Arabidopsis thaliana: one gene and its partners. The protein of the gene in region 1 interacts with the protein of each later gene in a pairwise test. Each region holds a gene or a part of one and is shown on either strand. Other genes may lie near its edges. The genes, in order: AT3G01516, AT2G27290 and WAK3.

Region 1 (6,911 bases):
GGACTCATGATCTCTGATATTGTAGCTTTCGTTTTCGCGGGAAACTTTAACTGCAGCGGCGGCGAATTCACCGGAAGCGTAGTAACTGAAGCTTGGGCTATACGACACCGTTGAAGAAAAATCCTGCATTGTTTTTTACGTCTTGTTTACGATTCGCGTCCCTGTAAACTTGCTGTGTCTATGTGTCTGTATATATAATGTCATTACATGTAACATGTGGGAGTGGTTTAGTTAGCTTGTTCGTCAATACTAGGCGATAAAACGTGGTCGCTTTCGAGGTATTTGTTTATGAGAATATTGAAATTATAAACGTCAATGCTGACGATGAGGGGGTAACCTAAAGTATGATTTTATTCTTATCAACCAACCAAATATGTTAGACGTGAAATCAGATTTGGCATAATCATTTTACGATTTCTGTAATTCTTTAAAGAATTGTGTGAACTCGTGATTTATTCTATTATAATAAAACCTATTCATCATATTCTGTGACTTTGCAAATACAAGAAATGTTTTTTTGCTGAATAATTTCCAAGTTTAACAGTTACAAACAAATGATTAGTCAAAATAACTAAAATAAATTAGTTATCATATGTTTCACTTTCACTAGGAGTCCAATAGTTGTTATCCTCTAAGATTAAACAAAATAAGCATAATTTAATCAAACGCAACTTTTAGCGAATTTATAAATGACTTTTCCGAACCTTGCTATAACAACTTTGCAATAAACATATTGTCTTTTGAACCCGTCGGCACTAAAATCTCCCTGACAAATGACTCAAGGCCAAATTAACATTCTTATTTGATAAAATTAGGCATAGAAACAAGCATGATTAAATAATTGTACCACATGCCAATATCCATTTCCCAACGAATAGCAACATTGAAGTCCATATTGGCATGTTCTGCCATATAAATTAAACATTGCTGTTGGAATTGTAATCTGTCATATTCTTCGAAGAATAATCCAAAGATTGCTTCTTTTAATTATCACTAAATATTATATAAAGATCGATCTCCATGTTACATTTCTCAATTTCATGTGGAGCAATGAGTTGGCAGCTTAACCATAGTCATTTTTTAATAGAGTCTAATTAATGTTTTCAGTTCGAGTTTGAACATACTATTTGTAGCCTAATCAAGCCCAAATTTGCCCAAATTCAGGGCCGGCCTTCTCCGGAGCTAATTCTTCGCAGTTTCGGGTTACTACTAATTAAATCAGATCAACATCTCCATATTTGCTTTAAGCATTAAGAGTTTAACAGAAGAACCAACAAAAACCAGAAATGCAGAAATGGGGATGTTTTGTGCTATCAAATATCAATTTTCTCATGTGTGATTAATCATGACAATGATTATATTTGTATATTTGATTTTTTTTTTTAACATGAATTGAATACGTATTCGACTAAACCAACTTATTTGGTCTCTTCTATGCTTTCTGATCACTTTCTTTTGTCAACATGCATCTTCTGGTCCAATGCATATAAGTTTAAATTTAAGAAGAATATTCATAATGGAGTCCGTCACCGGCCGTGGAACGCGTATATATGAAGTTATGAACATATTAGTGTCACACATATCAAAACCAGTAATTTGACAAAGATCGACTAGTTGCATTATAGTATATTGTCCGTGATTAATAAAATTACTTGTATTACGGGTTATCCAAATGCGGTCCACAACACACGTACAGCTAACGCCGTTGACTTCTTAAAGTCAACCAAAAAAGGAGAACGTGTCATTACATTACATACTCTGTGTCCAAAACGGAAGAAGATATTGCGGTCAGTGACGCAAACGCAGCAGAATGAGAACGCGACTCTTGTTGCAAGAAGACCGTTGGGTGTGTGCGTACGTGTCACTGACATACTGACAGTTGGACGGTGAAAACTTTGTTACCTAAAGAATTAAAGAGGAGCATCGACGTGGCGGCCTTTGAGCCCGGCGCACGTGATTCTTCGCAGCATCGCACGTGCATGGGCTCAAGCAAAGTGCTTCTAAAGGCAGCAAACATAAGAGGGAAAAAGGCGTCAACGCCGCTGCTTATTACAGATTTTGAAAACCACGACAAATAATACAGTTAATTTGAGAAACTGTTTATTTAGTCTACGTAAAGTTATGCGCAAGTACATAAAATCCATATTAAATTTTTAGAACTCCTAAATACTCCTACTAATCTCGTTGACATATATGATCATTCTACATATAAAAATATCCAAGTGGCTCACATAAAGTTCAGTTTTTACTATATATGAGACTAATTTAAAGAGAGTAATTTGGAGTGTCATGTTACTATAAATTGTAAATTGTTCAAAAGAGGGGGTCTTTTAGTTCGTTTATCAATTGTTTATATAGAAAAAAAAAAAAAAAAGAATAAAGAACGAATTGCATAGGAATGCACATGATCAGGGGCCGAGTTCCCATAAGTTGATTCTCTCTGTCTTCGGGACTCATCAAACACAAAGTTACGATATTTCCTGTAAACCCGTTTCCAACTAATTACTGTATTATGTAATTTTGTATTGTTTTATACCCGGTACCCACTTGAGGATTTTAATCTGAATTGTTTAAGAAATTTTAACTGTAAATTTCATAAAATTACTACTCATTAGTTGTACTTAAAAAAATAATAATTTTTATCTTTCGGAGGATATTTATCTACTAAATTCACATGATATATAGGTATATGTTCATATGTGTAGAATATTGATGCTTTAAGAGAGCTTTTGTAGCTGCTCTAACTGGATTAAAATATTCATGTCAGACCATTATACATATTAGTCTGTATAGTGTATGCTCATGAGACCAGAGAGAGAGAGAGAGAAATGATTTTCAAAAGATAAACATAGAAAAGAGAAGCTCTAATTAATCGAAGATATAATATAATGTGTATTTATAGATCAGATCACATCTTTCTTCTTCTTCTTCTTCTTCTTCTTTCTTGATCTTTTTGGTTGTTACGAGCTTCTTCTTCTCTTTCTCTTCTCAAGCTCATTAGAACATCAATTTAAAACAGAAACTTTTACTATAGACCACGATAACAAATCTGGGTTTTTGTTGTTGTTCTCTCCATGCAGAGAAGAGTTTCAAAAAGGAATACAGGATCTGTGGCTTTTGAGTAGGTTAATTAATTAGTCGACAAGAAAACAAAGGTATGTAACCATTTGATCATTCTCCATTGCTTGTTGTCTCGCTTAGATCCTTATCATATTTAAATGCTAAAATGGATGATTTTTTTTGAGACTTTTTTATATATATATATATATTTATAACTAAACTTTGATAGATAATCTAGTTTAGTTAGTAGTTGCACAAAATACATTTTGAATTCTCCGTTAAATAGGCGTTTCAATTTATAAGAATAAGATTTATGATAATTTTCGGGTTCAAACTTACATATTACACGTTTTGTTATATGTTACACCTAGTTAAACATATAGTGTTTCATCTAGCTATGCATAAGAGTGTCTCACCATAAATCAAATGGGCAGTTTGTGTTTTTTTTTCTTTATATAGACTACACAGAATATATAGTGTGCACTATCTTACGTTTGTCCGGTGTGTCAATGTTGATTTTTGCATCAAGTTCTCCTTCGACAAAACAAAATGACGATATATATCTATCTATATATATATATACAAACTGTATTGGCTTCGTACTATATACATACGTCAGTCTTATTAATTCTACAACGCAGATCAAAATTTGAATTTTGACTAGGCTTTAATGTGTACGATTACCTTATACAAGTGAAAAAGGGTCAATCGTACGTTTACCCTTAAATTTCTTTTTGTTAGTAACATATCGAAAAATAAACCGTTTTATATATATTTTCAAAATACTTATTCTTCTTGTTAATGCTGTCACATATTATAAATCATTACAATGTTTTGACAAATAAAAGAAAAATCATTATTACAAATCTAATCGTTTTAAAATCCTAGGGAATCCTACTAGATTATTATTACTATTGTAGACCTTGTTTCTTTTGTCACATTAATTAATAACAATAAAATAATATATATTTTTAAAAATATTTTTGTTTTGTTTTGCATTGTATATTATTTAGCTGTAGATTTGTAATGGGCCACGTAATTGGGCCATGCTAAGACCCGGCAAACCCATGTGAGATATATGATCTCCCGCACTATAGTCCACGTTATCTCACTGATATCTCATTATTTTAACAATAAGACCGTCTCTTAATTTTATTACAAGTTTTCTTTTACTCTTGTAGCCTTAAATTTTAGGCTGAAAATTAAAGTTTTGAAAAAAGCTATAGGGAGGGACTATGTAAAATAAAAAAATGTACGTTACCATCAGATTTTACCATAAAGAGCCAAAAATAAAATATGCAAAACTCCACTAAAAATAATATTAATTCCCCTAGCCAACAAAAAAGATTCAGATTCATATCCCACGCGCTCGTTCAAATCCTCTCATTCGCCACCTGATCAAACCAATCTCAATTTGAAAATTGAAATAGACAAAATCGTGACATTGGGACATAAAAAAGCACTAGGACAAAATTCTAGTCGACGCAAAAAAAATTCGAAAAACGTGAGTCAGCGTATGTGGTTTACACGCGCCAAAGTGGGAGCGTGAGTGGGGTTTGAATGCACCTGAAACTGTCTGGTCAATAAGTTAAAGTGCATGGGAAAAATCTTGGTTGCTGTTTCCTATATATCTCTCTTTTTACCATCAACATGTTACATATATATATGGACAAAAATCTGTATATGTGAATGCATATAGGAGTGTGATGTATTTATATAAGTTAGTAAGCTTTGTTCTCTTTCTCTATTTTTTTGGCAGGTATATAAAATTTTAAAATGGAGGAGGAAAACCAAAAGTCGCATCGAGTTTCACGTAAAGACCAGAGTGGATCCCACTGGAGTCAAGGAGCCGATGAAGAGCCGAGAGCCAGATGCTCCGGGAAAAGGTGCCGGTCTTGGGCGGCGGCGGCGATCGCTGACTGCGTGGCGCTCTGCTGTTGTCCCTGCGCCGTGGTGAACATCTTCACTCTCGCCTTTGTTAAGGTCCCGTGGATGATAGGCCGGAAATGTATCGGCCGTGGTGGCCCGAGTAAGAAGCGGATGAAGAAAATCAACCGTGAGGATCGGTTTCATCACCATCACCACCACAGGAGGTCGGCCGAGATGGTGAGTGGTGGATGTTGCGGTGGCGGAGATGGAGATGGAGAGTTCGATGACCATCGGTTTGTGGTGGAAAGAGACGGGAGTTTGACCAAAGAGGAAGCCAAAACGGCGTCGTTAAAAGAAGAGGAAGAGACGAGAATAAGTGCGAGAGTGGAAGCAGAGAGAGTTTGGTTAGAGTTGTATCAGATTGGGCATCTTGGCTTTGGTAGAGTCTCCTTCACTGGCATTCATCAATGATAATAGATGAACTTTTAATTATTAGGCGTATATGATTACCAAAACTAAAAATAGATTTTGTGAAATTCTTTAGTGCAGCAAGTAAGATTCCACAAGTATGCATAGAAAAAAAAAAAAAGATTACACAAGTATTAATTTATAGAGGTTTTAGTGCAACATGTAACTCATAAGGATTAAGGAAACAAAAAGTATTTGTGAAATAAGAGAGTACATTATATTATAGAAATGGGCTAATATACATTTGGGCCCTTGTTAAAGGGCTTTCACATGAACCGCATTAAAGGGTAGTTTAGGACATTTACGATAGAACTTGGTAGGCGTAGCTAGCTGTCCTGTAACAGAAAAAACCTGCGCATTTTAGCATGCTTATGAAATTCATTTGCTAAAAGACGCATAGACACGTCGTGGGCGAAGGGTTCTTTGTCTTCTTCCCCCAACTGAGCAAGATTGTTTTCCTTAAGAGCTTCATCGTCATCATCCGAGAATTGGAGCAGAGATACGAAGATTTGGCGAAAAATGGGGAGCGAGCCAACAAAAGTGATGGTGGCGGTGAACGCTTCGACGATCAAAGACTATCCTAACCCTTCGATTAGCTGCAAAAGAGCATTCGAATGGACTCTGGAGAAGATCGTAAGGTCCAACACTTCCGATTTCAAGATTCTCTTGCTCCACGTACAAGTCGTCGACGAAGACGGTTCTTCTCTCTCCTTAAATATTTATTTATCTTTGAATATGTTCGTGCGTATGTCTGTTTGTGGGAAATCATGATCTTAGTTTTGGACGATGATGTCGTATATATAGATCGGTCTGCATATGTCTCTGAGTTTTGACCGAGAAGGATCGACTGTGCTTTTTTGTTACTAGTAGTGTCGGTTGGTCGTTGAGATTATCTCTTCTGGACAAACTTTTGTTCGGATTTTGATGTTACATTTGAAGAGGATGTGTTAGCTTGTATTGGACTTTTCTCGGTTATATGTTTAGAAGAGGAGATGACTCTTTCGTGATATTTGTTTTGTTCTGTTTCTCGCTTTGAGTCAGAACAATGTGTTTTGCTTAGTTTCTCTCTTGTGGTGTTATTAAGGCCTGTTTTGTTTGTGACTTGGAAACCAGGTTTTGATGACGTGGATAGCATTTATGCTTCCCCTGAGGATTTCCGAGACATGAGACAATCTAACAAGGCAAAAGGTCTTCACCTTCTCGAGTTTTTCGTTAATAAATGTCATGAGATTGGGGTAAACACACTCTCTCTTTTTAGCTCAAATCAAGTTATCCTCCGCTGTGTCTATGAACTTCTTTGTTTTGTATCTCATTGCAACTACTGTAACTTTGTGATGTTTTATGATTAAATTCTAGCTGTGCAAAACTTGTAGGTTGGTTGCGAGGCCTGGATTAAGACAGGTGATCCCAAGGATGTCATATGCCAAGAAGTGAAGCGAGTTCGACCAGATTTTCTGGTCGTGGGAAGTCGTGGACTTGGCCGGTTTCAAAAGTGCGTATAATACTCAAACACA
Region 2 (5,590 bases), on another chromosome or scaffold:
TTCTTTTGTTCCTCAAGTTTCCTTTTATAAGCGCCAGTAACAAACTTTTCTTTATCCGAAAAAAGATGTTCGTCTTTCTCCCTCTCTTTCGCAAGCTTTCTCTCATAAACTATCTCATGTTCTTTCTCTCTACGTTCTGCCTGTTTCATCAAATTCTGTATATACCTTGGCTGCAATTAGAAAAAGAAAACTAAATGAAACATAAGCAATCCAATAAGTCATTCTGAAACCTAATTAAAGTGCCCCAACTACAGAGAATGTAACACCATAAGAAACTACTAAAACTGACGCATGTAGAGGCTCAGAAACTTCACCTCTACTTAACTAAAACAAAGTAACTAAGCTTTACACTTTTTGGTAACTATATGTAGCCATGGGTTATAGGCTGGTAGTTGTTAGGGTATTGCAGGATATCAAGATTTTGGTGGTTTCTAAGGGTAATAAGAAAATCCAGCTAAGTTATGGCTTCCTATACTTCAATCATATGATAAACCAAGCCCGACACAGATCATAGATTCCTCTTAAGAACATGGAAACATAGATTTTGATTCCCTAAGCTACAGAAGCTTCAAGTCTTAAGCTCTCTAAGAGATAAACATTACCTTGCGTTCTTCACGATCTTGCATTCGAGGAAGAACAGCTTTCTGTTTCATATCATCATAAACTTCATCATATGAAAAAGCAGAAGGATCCTCCTCTAAGGCTTTCTTATGCTGCTCCTCAATCTAAAACACACAATCACTTATCAAGCAGATCAAATTGAAGGAAATATAAGAAACAAGAACTCGAGTCAGTGGAGGAAAAAAGCTTACTTCTTTATGAGCTTTGGTCTTTGTTGCTTGACGAGAAATCTCCTTCTCGACGTCGTGATCTTCTTCTTCATCAAATATTGAAGCGGGTCGAAGTGGAGGTCGAGATGATGATTGTTTTTTCTGGGAAGGAGCTCTGATTTGCAATCCGTACTTCTTCATCTTCGATTTCTATTCCAGGAGCAACAAACTTCTGCAAAATCGATTGAAAATTAGCGCAATTCCTGCGAAGTCCCAGATTCTGGAAAAACACTAATCAAACCCAAGCATGAAATAGGTAGATTTCGCTGTAGAATCGATTAGGGTTACAATTCACAAAAGTTGATTGGTGTGATTTTCCCAGGATTAAGGAATTTAGTAATCCATGGAAGAAAGTGAAAGAGGAAGGGAGGAGATAAAAAGATCCAATTAACTATAGATGGTATAGATGATTACGGCCCAATTGTTACGGCCCAATGTTTTCATATTTTGATGGGCCGAGATAATGAGGTTCTAGAGTACAAGTTAAAATGCATCACCAAAACGATCGAGGTCATATGCTCTGGATCACAGAGATCATTCCCAACCATTTGACAACTACTTCTCCCACTTACCAAATGTCTAGAGGTTAGTGAATCGTGAAGTCGTAATTTCCAACCAACCACATATTAAATAGACAAGTCTAAAACTATATCACAACTTGGATTCTGCCACTCTTTGGTTCTGTATCTTTCTAACTCATCATCATATTCAGATATGCTTCAATCTTTTTTGTACATACAAGGTAGAGAAGTGAGGATTGTACAGGATTATGTATGTTGATTATCAAGTAATATATAGAACATCTACATTATAATACCTCCAAAGTAAGCTACTTGTCATCATCCTTCTCCTTGTCCACTTTCTTCCCAATCCAATTGGCTACAATAGGAGTCAAAGCCACTGTAGGCGGAAACCTTATCGGAGATGCAGCTTTATGCGCTGCGTAAGCCAAAGCAAAGGCTCCTACTTTCTCTCCTGTCTCATTCGTCGAAATCCCAACCTTAAACACAAAACATCAAAATCAGCTTTACTCAACCCAAGATCAAGAAAACATAAACTTAGTATGATCAAGAAGTGAAAGTAGTAACCTTTAGAAGAAGAGCTTGAACATCAACACCGGAAGTCACAAGGACATAGCAGAGTGAGAAGGAAATGAGAGAAAGAGTAATAGATGTAGCGAGATAAGCACCACCATACTTTGCAAGTAACTCTTTAGCCTCATCTGTTTTTGATTTCTTCTTCTTATTGTCTCCATCACTTCCTTCATCATCCTTAGAGCTTAATATCTAATCACAAGTCCATCCAAAACACCATTTTACTACACAAAAACTTCCATAGATTCTACAACTTCCAAAAATGCTCCAAACTAACCAATCACATATGCTCACTTGTTGATAAAAAAAAACACCATTTTAGCATAGTTAAAAGCTTACATAACTTCTACAACTACCACGAAAACGATCATATCTACTCACATAATCATCTAAACACCATTTTAGTACCCTTAGAAGCTTCCATAGCTTCAACAACTACAAAATTGCTCACATAATCATACAAAACACCATTTTAGTTACACTTAAAGCTTCAATAGCTTCTACTAATACCAAAATTGCTCTGAATTAGCCTATCATTCAGCTCAGAAACAATCATATGTCCTCACATGTTCATCCAAAAACACTATTTTACTTACACTTAAAGCTTCCATAGCGATAGAATCATCAATTTTAGATTACGAATTAAAACGAGAAATTGCGCAATCGAATTGATTTTACCTTCCATAGACCAACTTCAAGGCCATATTTCTTGGTAACTTCTTCGGCGGAAGGAGGAGGAGGAGAAGAAGACGGCGGCGAAATGTTCTTATCAATGTCCTCCGCCTTCTCACGGACGGCTCTGCATCTGAATTTCTTCGAGGAAGCTGAAACTGAAGAGTGGAAGAATCGGATTTGAAGGTTTCTGGTGTTCAACAAGGAAGACGAAGGAGGAATTTGCAGAAGCATCATCGCCATTGTTTTTTTCAGCCACCAAAAAAAACAGAAAGCAAATCTTTTCACCTTATTATTTTTATTTATTGTATGACACACAATTATTTTTTATTTTTTTCTGAAGGTATACCATTTGTTGTATTAGAGGTTCCAGAGTAATCTTTTACATATATAAAACTTTAATATAGTATAAAAAATCCATAAGTAAGAAAAATATTTTTAGACTATTTTATAAATATAAAAAACTACAAACAACATTTGTTTGATTCTCAGGCGTTTATATTTTGAACTGAAACTTTTGTATATCTAAACATAGTCTAAAATAATTTATTTTACTTATGGATTTTGTATAATTTATTACAATTGTATATAACTAAGAATATCACTTTGCAATCTCTAATACAACAAACAGCAAAACTTAAGGAAATGGTGGTATTATTCACATTTACTATATGTGAAATTTGTTGTCTCTATTTTCACGGAACTATCATCTCTTTCCCAAAGCTTTCACCCAGATTATAAAGGTTTACTATCCGAAAATATTCTCTTTTCCATAAAAATTTTGGTTTGTACACAAGTTTGAATAATTGTTAAGACTAGCTCAACATGCCATATTGCCATAGACCAAATACTATATTTATTTATGTATAAATAATATGTATGTCGTAACTAGCTTTAGTTCCTAGCTATTAATACAGTCCAAAAGAAAGAAAATAAGATAGCCAAGAAAACAGTAGTGGCCAGAACATTCTTCATCAATCTCTGGCTATCATCTTTCTTGATTTTGAACGGGTTCGGGAATCTCCAGCTGGAGTCGGTTCCGGCAACGTTCTTGATCCTGAACAAAGCGTAACAATTCATTGTTTCCGTTGATTCTTTTTTTATACCACATTTTGACCTCTTACTCGATGACTCGCTTGATATTGTTTCTTGATGAGTTGGATTAGTTGGTCGAAACGCTTGGCTAGCTTTCAACGCTTCTTCGTCGAGCTTTATTATATCATCGTTCAGAATCTCGGCGTAACAATCATCATCGGTATCGGCCTGATCCTGCATCGCAATAGAAAGAGATCAACTTCAGTTACAAACTCTAAACTCTACCAGTACAAGAAAACTAAGGATGTTCAGCCCAAGTGTTGGTTTAGTCTATTGAGTTATAATATTAGTAGCCAAAATAAAAACCAAACATTGGATATATTGGTTTGTTACGTTTTAAGTTTAGAATCTGCTTTAGTAAAATAACAACTTTAGTGAAATCTAATGTACTATGAATCCGTTATAGTATGGTACTATGGTGTTGGTTTGGTTTTAGTTTCTTAATCGGTTCTGTTTTCGGAACTATATTGAATTTAATGTGGTTTCGATTAAGATTGGAGCGGATAATTTTACCAGTATTAAACATCGTTAAAAGACACATTCCTCAAAAGCAAGCTGACCTCAACAACATTTGATGATTCTGCGATGTCACCATTTGGTATCTGATGCTCAGATTCATAGTAGGATTTGTCCTCCTTCTCCAAACCACCTCTTTGGCCAACGTAGCCATCGTCTTGCACAACACCATCCTCCATTTTTTGGGTCGAACTAGCCCGAAAATCAGCATTTTTTCTTAACCGGCACACCACTAATGCATCCTGTGAAATCCAAATTTCAATATATCTCAAAACATTAAAACTCAACCTATTCAAAATGAAAGTTTTAAGAACCTGTGGGGCTCCATGGATGCAGTATTCATGCATAATCCACTCCGTTCTCTCGCCACGAGGAGCCCGACCGATATGAAATACAAGCGTTCTCTTGGTTCCAACAACTTGGTTCCCGGATTTAACACTCCGCTCTTTACCGGTCGCTTTCCAATATCCTAGCTGTGTGGCTCGCCGGCTTTGTGACCCGTGCGGGTACTTCCTCCCCCTCGCGCAGAAGTAAAACCACTCGTTCTCCGATTTCAGTTTCGATTCCTCTGTTTTATAGGCACAAACATTCAAATTAGTGAACCAAAGTAAACATAAAGAGAAAGAAAACCGAAGTAAAACCTGGCAAGTCCCACGGCTCGAACTTGTAAATCTCGACCTCAGCAATCACAGCAACAGAGTTCTCATCACCATCGATTTTACGACGAAGATAGTACGAGATAAGTTCAACATCAGTAGGAGAGAATCTAAAACCAGGGAACAAAGCCGACACCGCGATCGACATCTCAGCTTCTTTAGACATTGTTTGATCTTTTTGGCTCAGGAACTCGAAAATACTTTGCTTTAGATGAAGAAACATGCCTTATAAATGGCAAGTGTGCAGCTACTTTGCTTCGGGTAAAGGTTTTGTGTTTTTTGATATTTGGCGGCTTCAGAGGGAAAAAGGATGACGTGGACAATGACTGTAAGAATTGGGCGAATAACAGAAGAGTGTAATGAGATAGTAAAGGACAAAAATGATAACGTGGTTATGTATTATTGGACAGAACTCAAACCCAGCTCTGAAGTTCTCTCATTGATGCTTAATAAATCGTCTCTTCATTTTTAAACACGTGTTTCGATATCTTCCTCGGTGTTTGTACCCCGCATGCCAATAAGTTTTTGTTTTTGTTTTTTTGGGTGTAATAACTTATCAAAATGAATTTTTGTTTTTGACGGCAATCAAAATGAATTTAAATCACTTTGTAATTATTTTATTATCTTGCGCCAAGATATTTTCTTTTGTGTAATACAAGTTTTATATGAATCTATTTTATTATTTTTTTGTCGATGAATCTATTTTATTAAATACATTATATTTTTT
Region 3 (6,684 bases), on another chromosome or scaffold:
AAACTCTTGGGCTGTTGTCTAGAGACTGAAGTTCCCTTGTTGGTCTATGAGTTCATTTCCAGTGGCACTCTTTTTGATCACTTGCACGGTTCTATGTTTGATTCTTCGCTTACATGGGAACACCGTCTGAGGATAGCCATAGAAGTTGCTGGAACTCTTGCATATCTTCACTCCTATGCTTCTATTCCAATCATCCACCGAGATGTCAAGACTGCTAACATTCTCCTCGATGAAAACTTAACTGCAAAAGTAGCTGATTTTGGTGCATCAAGGCTGATACCGATGGACCAAGAGCAGCTCACAACTATGGTTCAAGGAACTCTTGGCTATTTAGACCCTGAATACTACAATACAGGGCTTCTGAACGAAAAGAGCGATGTTTATAGCTTTGGGGTAGTCCTCATGGAACTGCTCTCAGGTGAAAAGGCATTATGCTTTGAACGGCCACAAAGCTCAAAACATCTAGTGAGTTACTTTGTTTCTGCCATGAAAGAAAATAGGTTGCATGAGATTATTGACGGTCAAGTTATGAACGAGTATAATCAGAGGGAGATCCAGGAATCTGCAAGAATTGCTGTTGAGTGTACAAGAATTATGGGAGAGGAAAGGCCAAGTATGAAAGAAGTAGCTGCAGAGTTAGAGGCCTTGAGAGTCAAAACAACCAAACATCAGTGGTCAGATCAATATCCCAAGGAGGTTGAGCATTTGCTTGGTGTTCAAATCTTATCGACGCAAGGTGATACCAGTAGCATTGGCTATGACAGCATCCAGAATGTAACAAGGTTGGACATTGAAACTGGCCGCTGATATTTATCAATCTTTTGTTTGTGAAAAAGTAAAGCCACTTATTTATTGCTTATGTCCTATATGTTTCCTAACACTTCAAAAAAAACAGAGTATCAAAACATGATATTCAAGAACATTTATGCTCGAGAGATCCGTTGTAGATCATCAATTATTCATTTTATAACTCCATTCGATTGGTAAGCTAACCAGTAGACGATTCGGTATGAGAAAAATTAAGAATTCATGAATCTACTAGCAGAGATATTGATATACTGTTGTGGTTGCAAAACAATAACTCGAATTTAAAGGGCTCAGTTGCTTAAAACATCCTATTTGATCCACAGCTTGACTCATATATTGTTTTGGTACTGGCATCTATAATTTAATACTGCGTTTTCTAAATTAACAAAATCATTCTTGCTGCATAAGATTGCTCTGGTTTTGAAGCCATCAAGTTTTCTTATTTTGTTAAAAATTTATGATCTTTAACCATAAGTAATATATATAGTGAAAACATGAGAAAATTTGGTGGATTCTAGAAAAGCACTCTCCGTCAACGTGATCGATATTATGATGAAATGATTACAAAGATGCAATTATATATATCCACGAGCAACAAGACGAAGACAAAAATGTAAACAAGTTAACATATGATTTTGGAATTAGATCAGTAATAAACAAACATATGCACAACTACATGAGAAGTAAAAACTAGTAAACGAGAAATCTCTAACTTAAGATGCGTGGTATGTACGTAACTCCAAAAGAACAACTTGACATTTTTTTTTTTTTTTTTTTTTTGAATGTAATGTTAAATTATATTCAAGAAAAATAACGTTTTTGATACAAGGCTTTGAAAGTATGAAAGAACAACTTGACTATTTGATAAACAACTTGACTCATATATTGCTCTGTTATTAAAATTTTAATACTGCGTTTTCTAAATTAAATTATCATTCTTGCTGCATAAGATTGTTGTGGTTTTGTAACCATCAAATTTTCCTTTTTTGTTAAAACTCTGATCTTTAGTAAATTGAGAAAGCTACCTCTACTATACCCTTAAAATCTCTAAGTCTGGTCTGTCAAAGATTATTTTAATCATCAAACAGTGTATTTTCAGTTTTTTCTCAAGATTTTCCCTCAGTTTCTTTGAATGAATCTGGTTTCTTTCGGTGAAAGAGTGCTGGTCGTAATTGAGTTTGGTTTGTAATATATTACTTAAGTGTCGTGTCTGTTAAGTTAAAGTAGTTATGTTTGTTGTGTCACAAGAAAGAAGAGTCATAACTCTTGACTTTTCATGTCTGTTGGTTTGTATTTAAGTTAATTGTTGTAAACCTTGTAAAACAGTTGTTGTATTTCACTTTCTCTATAATAGAAAGACAAGTTCTTCTCTTTATTGTTATGTTGACGATCAAACCAATTGTGATACAAAGTCTGATTCTCTTTCTCTGTTCTTAACTCTGTTCTGTTTCTAGAAGGAGATTCAGTTTCTAACAAAGTGGTGGATTTGCATGGAAATTTCTCATAGATAACCTCTTGAAGAGTAAGCAGCGACATGACACATGAGGCAAGAACTATTCAAATTCTTCGAAAACTTGTTGACATTTATAAACTCAACACACACACACACACAAAAAAACTACATATTTCTACTATTACGACAGCAGAAGAAAACAGAGCATGTTGTGATCATGATGAGTCTTATTCCTACATTGTCACTATAACGAGACTTTCATATATGAACAATAAATTGGAGTTTCCTGGAAAAATCAAGACAAGAAAGAAAGGACAGATAAAGAAGTTGACGCATTTATATTTTTCTAACGTCTAGTAGTCTGAATCTTTACTTTTCTTCACATTTGATTATTCAACAATGTCAAATCAGGGGTTACTTTTCAAGCTATAAGAAGCGAATAAGCGATGAGAGAAAACTCAAAGAGAAACAAGTTTAGAGAGAAAGAAAGAGAAAGGTAGAAGATGAAGTTCCAGGAGGGTGTGTTCTTGGTGGTTATTTTCTTCCTTGCATATACTCAGCTTGTGAAGGGGCAACATCAACCTCGCGAAGATTGTAAACTTAAATGTGGAAACGTCACAATAGAGTACCCTTTTGGTATTTCTACAGGTTGTTACTATCCCGGAGATGATAATTTCAATCTCACCTGTGTCGTGGAAGAGAAGCTACTACTCTTTGGCATCATTCAAGTGACCAATATTTCTCACAGTGGCCATGTAAGTGTACTGTTTGAACGATTCTCTGAATGCTACGAGCAGAAAAATGAGACTAATGGAACTGCCCTCGGGTATCAGCTGGGTAGTAGTTTCTCTCTCTCCTCCAACAACAAGTTTACTTTAGTAGGATGTAACGCTTTATCACTTTTGAGCACTTTTGGAAAGCAAAACTACTCAACTGGATGCTTGTCATTATGCAATTCTCAACCAGAGGCAAATGGAAGATGTAATGGTGTAGGTTGCTGCACAACAGAGGACTTCTCTGTCCCGTTCGATAGCGATACATTCCAATTTGGCTCAGTTCGCTTGAGAAACCAAGTTAATAATTCCTTAGATCTATTTAATACTTCGGTATATCAGTTTAATCCTTGCACCTACGCTTTTCTCGTTGAAGATGGTAAGTTTAACTTCGATTCTTCAAAAGATCTTAAGAATCTGAGGAATGTCACGAGGTTCCCTGTGGCACTAGATTGGTCTATTGGAAACCAGACATGTGAGCAAGCTGGAAGCACAAGAATATGCGGTAAGAACAGCTCATGTTACAATTCTACTACTAGAAACGGGTATATCTGCAAATGTAATGAAGGTTATGATGGGAATCCATACCGTTCAGAGGGTTGCAAAGGTACTTCATATTAATTTCTTTGCTTTCTTTCTTCTTTTGAGTGTTTATAATCTTCCTCATACGTTTTTGGTTGCATCTTGTGCACTTATTCCTTTGGTCAGACATCGATGAGTGTATTAGTGATACACATAACTGTTCGGATCCAAAAACCTGTAGAAACAGGGATGGAGGCTTCGATTGTAAGTGTCCATCTGGTTACGACTTAAACTCCAGTATGAGCTGCACGAGGCCCGAATACAAACGGACTCGAATTTTTCTTGGTAAACACTCTTCACTGGTTCTAGATTCTCTTTAAATCAACTCGCTCTAATCATCTATGCATGATGTTATCAGTAATCATAATCGGCGTCTTGGTCCTCCTGCTTGCTGCGATCTGTATACAACATGCAACGAAGCAAAGGAAGTATACCAAGCTCCGACGACAATTCTTTGAGCAAAATGGTGGTGGCATGTTGATACAGCGACTTTCAGGAGCAGGGTTGTCAAACATTGATTTCAAAATCTTTACTGAGGAAGGCATGAAAGAGGCAACTAATGGCTATGATGAGAGCAGAATCTTGGGCCAGGGAGGTCAAGGAACAGTCTACAAAGGGATATTGCCGGACAACACTATCGTTGCTATAAAGAAAGCTCGGCTTGCAGACAGTAGACAAGTAGATCAGTTCATCCACGAAGTGCTCGTGCTTTCACAAATTAACCACAGGAACGTGGTCAAGATCTTGGGTTGCTGTCTAGAGACTGAAGTCCCCTTGTTGGTCTATGAATTCATTACCAATGGCACCCTTTTCGATCACTTGCACGGTTCCATTTTTGATTCTTCTCTTACATGGGAACACCGCCTCAGAATAGCGATAGAAGTCGCTGGAACTCTTGCTTATCTTCACTCCTCTGCTTCTATTCCAATCATCCATCGCGATATCAAAACTGCAAATATTCTCTTGGATGAAAACTTAACTGCAAAAGTAGCCGACTTTGGCGCTTCTAAGCTTATACCAATGGATAAAGAGCAGCTCACAACTATGGTGCAAGGCACTCTAGGCTATTTAGACCCAGAATACTATACCACAGGGCTTCTGAACGAGAAGAGCGATGTGTATAGCTTTGGGGTAGTCCTCATGGAACTGCTCTCAGGTCAAAAGGCATTGTGCTTTGAACGGCCACAGGCTTCAAAACATTTGGTGAGTTACTTTGTTTCTGCCACGGAAGAGAATAGGTTGCATGAGATTATTGACGACCAAGTGTTGAACGAGGATAATCTGAAGGAGATCCAGGAAGCTGCAAGAATTGCTGCAGAGTGTACAAGGCTAATGGGAGAGGAAAGGCCAAGGATGAAAGAAGTAGCTGCAAAGCTAGAAGCCTTGAGGGTCGAGAAAACCAAACATAAGTGGTCGGATCAGTATCCTGAGGAGAATGAACACTTGATTGGTGGTCACATCTTGTCTGCACAAGGCGAAACCAGTAGCAGCATTGGCTATGATAGCATCAAAAATGTAGCAATATTGGACATTGAAACTGGCCGCTGATATTGCTCACAAAATCACATGTATCTCTTTTGTTTGTAAAAAAAGAAAACCACTTATTTGTTGCTTCATCAATATGCTTTGAGAGCTTGTTTGTTCATCATCAATAATCATGTTCATATTTTCCTTTACTTGGTATACTATGGTGCAAGGCACTCTAGGCTATTTAGACCCAGAATACTATACCACAGGGCTTCTGAACGAGAAGAGCGATGTGTATAGCTTTGGGGTAGTCCTCATGGAACTGCTCTCAGGTCAAAAGGCATTGTGCTTTGAACGGCCACAGGCTTCAAAACATTTGGTGAGTTACTTTGTTTCTGCCACGGAAGAGAATAGGTTGCATGAGATTATTGACGACCAAGTGTTGAACGAGGATAATCTGAAGGAGATCCAGGAAGCTGCAAGAATTGCTGCAGAGTGTACAAGGCTAATGGGAAAAGAAAGGCCAAGGATGAAAGAAGTAGCTGTAGAGCTAGAAACTTTGAGCGTCAAAACAACCAAACATAATTGGTCGGATCAGTATCGAGAGGAGAATTTACACTTGCTTGGTAGCAACATCGTGTCTTCCCAAGGCGATACCAATAGCCGTGGTTATGACAGCGTCAAGAATGTAGCATTGCTTGACATTGAAGCTGGCCGCTGATAAATTTTGTTTGTTAAAAAGTATATTGTTTAATTCTTTATTGTTTATCTCCTTTTGTCTTTATAAACATAACCAGAATATCAAAACATGACATTCAAAAACATTGATATCCTTGTAGATCATCCATATATACTCATGTTCACAATTCTCCTATATTTTTATATGCTAACCAGTAGCTGATTAGGTATTAGAAAAACTACCTAGAGTTCATAAATATGATTCCATACGACATTAATATATCATTGTGCTTAATTATAAAGAAAAACAAAACAACTCGAGAAGAAAAAACACTAGAATTTAAAGTAGGCGTCAAAAACAGAGGAGAGTAAGTATACTATGAATATGATCATCGAAATCTTCAGCACCTGGTCGAGTTCATCGTAGATACCGCTTCCTCAAACCAAACCATATGATTCTTTGTTAGTTGCTTGGTAAACTAAAAAAATAAAAGACTCATTTGGTGCAAACTTCATATTTGATCTACAGCTTGAGTCATCATGTTTCGTTACTCATCTACAACCCATCATTCTTGTTGCATAAGATTGCTTGATATTGTATATCACATCAAATCTCTTAATTTGTTTCTTGTTAAAATATATGATTTTTAGTAAGTGTTAGTCAGCAATCCTACGATTATTGGCAGGTTAGTCACCAATCAAAGCATGATCACTTGTTGTCTACTTCCATTTGATTACCCCAATTCATGTTTATTGACTTACTAATAATACCAAGCACGTATTCAGACTAAAATTATCTTAGAACCAACTTCAGTGGATGAAGATAAAAGTTGGGGAAAGTGCAGACTCAAATATTAAAGGAATCTCAATTCTCAGTTTTAACTTTTACTTGTATGTTTGGTAATGCTTTTACCTTTGGTTGCA

The links.
Region 2: the proteins of AT3G01516 (region 1) and AT2G27290 interact in a protein complementation assay, tested with the Arabidopsis thaliana proteins (one large-scale study listed by BioGRID).
Region 3: the proteins of AT3G01516 (region 1) and WAK3 interact in a protein complementation assay, tested with the Arabidopsis thaliana proteins (one large-scale study listed by BioGRID).

The regions. Positions count from the first base shown.
Region 1 is NC_003074.8:202,590-209,500, forward strand, and holds AT3G01516 (uncharacterized protein), read left to right. Parts: upstream 1-2,724; 5' UTR 2,725-3,155; intron 3,156-3,906; exon of another isoform or gene 3,907-4,819; 5' UTR 4,820-4,836; coding exon 4,837-5,400; 3' UTR 5,401-5,631; downstream 5,632-6,911. Other genes in the region: AT3G01513 (uncharacterized protein), read right to left, coding at 1-129; AT3G01520 (Adenine nucleotide alpha hydrolases-like superfamily protein), read left to right, coding at 5,917-6,094, 6,511-6,632, 6,771-6,889.
Region 2 is NC_003071.7:11,676,927-11,682,516, forward strand, and holds AT2G27290 (FAM210B-like protein, putative (DUF1279)), read right to left. Parts: upstream 2,994-5,590; 5' UTR 2,840-2,993; coding exon 2,603-2,839; intron 2,117-2,602; coding exon 1,919-2,116; intron 1,831-1,918; coding exon 1,660-1,830; 3' UTR 1,379-1,659; downstream 1-1,378. Other genes in the region: AT2G27285 (nuclear speckle splicing regulatory-like protein (DUF2040)), read right to left, coding at 1-170, 603-725, 813-971; NTL8 (NTM1-like 8), read right to left, coding at 3,491-3,865, 4,252-4,449, 4,522-4,775, 4,849-5,029.
Region 3 is NC_003070.9:7,431,540-7,438,223, forward strand, and holds WAK3 (wall associated kinase 3), read left to right. Parts: upstream 1-2,695; 5' UTR 2,696-2,763; coding exon 2,764-3,640; intron 3,641-3,741; coding exon 3,742-3,900; intron 3,901-3,973; coding exon 3,974-5,163; 3' UTR 5,164-5,291; downstream 5,292-6,684. Other genes in the region: WAK5 (wall associated kinase 5), read left to right, coding at 1-807; AT1G21245 (Protein kinase superfamily protein), read left to right, coding at 5,303-5,803. UniProt on the Arabidopsis thaliana protein: Serine/threonine-protein kinase that may function as a signaling receptor of extracellular matrix component. Binding to pectin may have significance in the control of cell expansion, morphogenesis and development.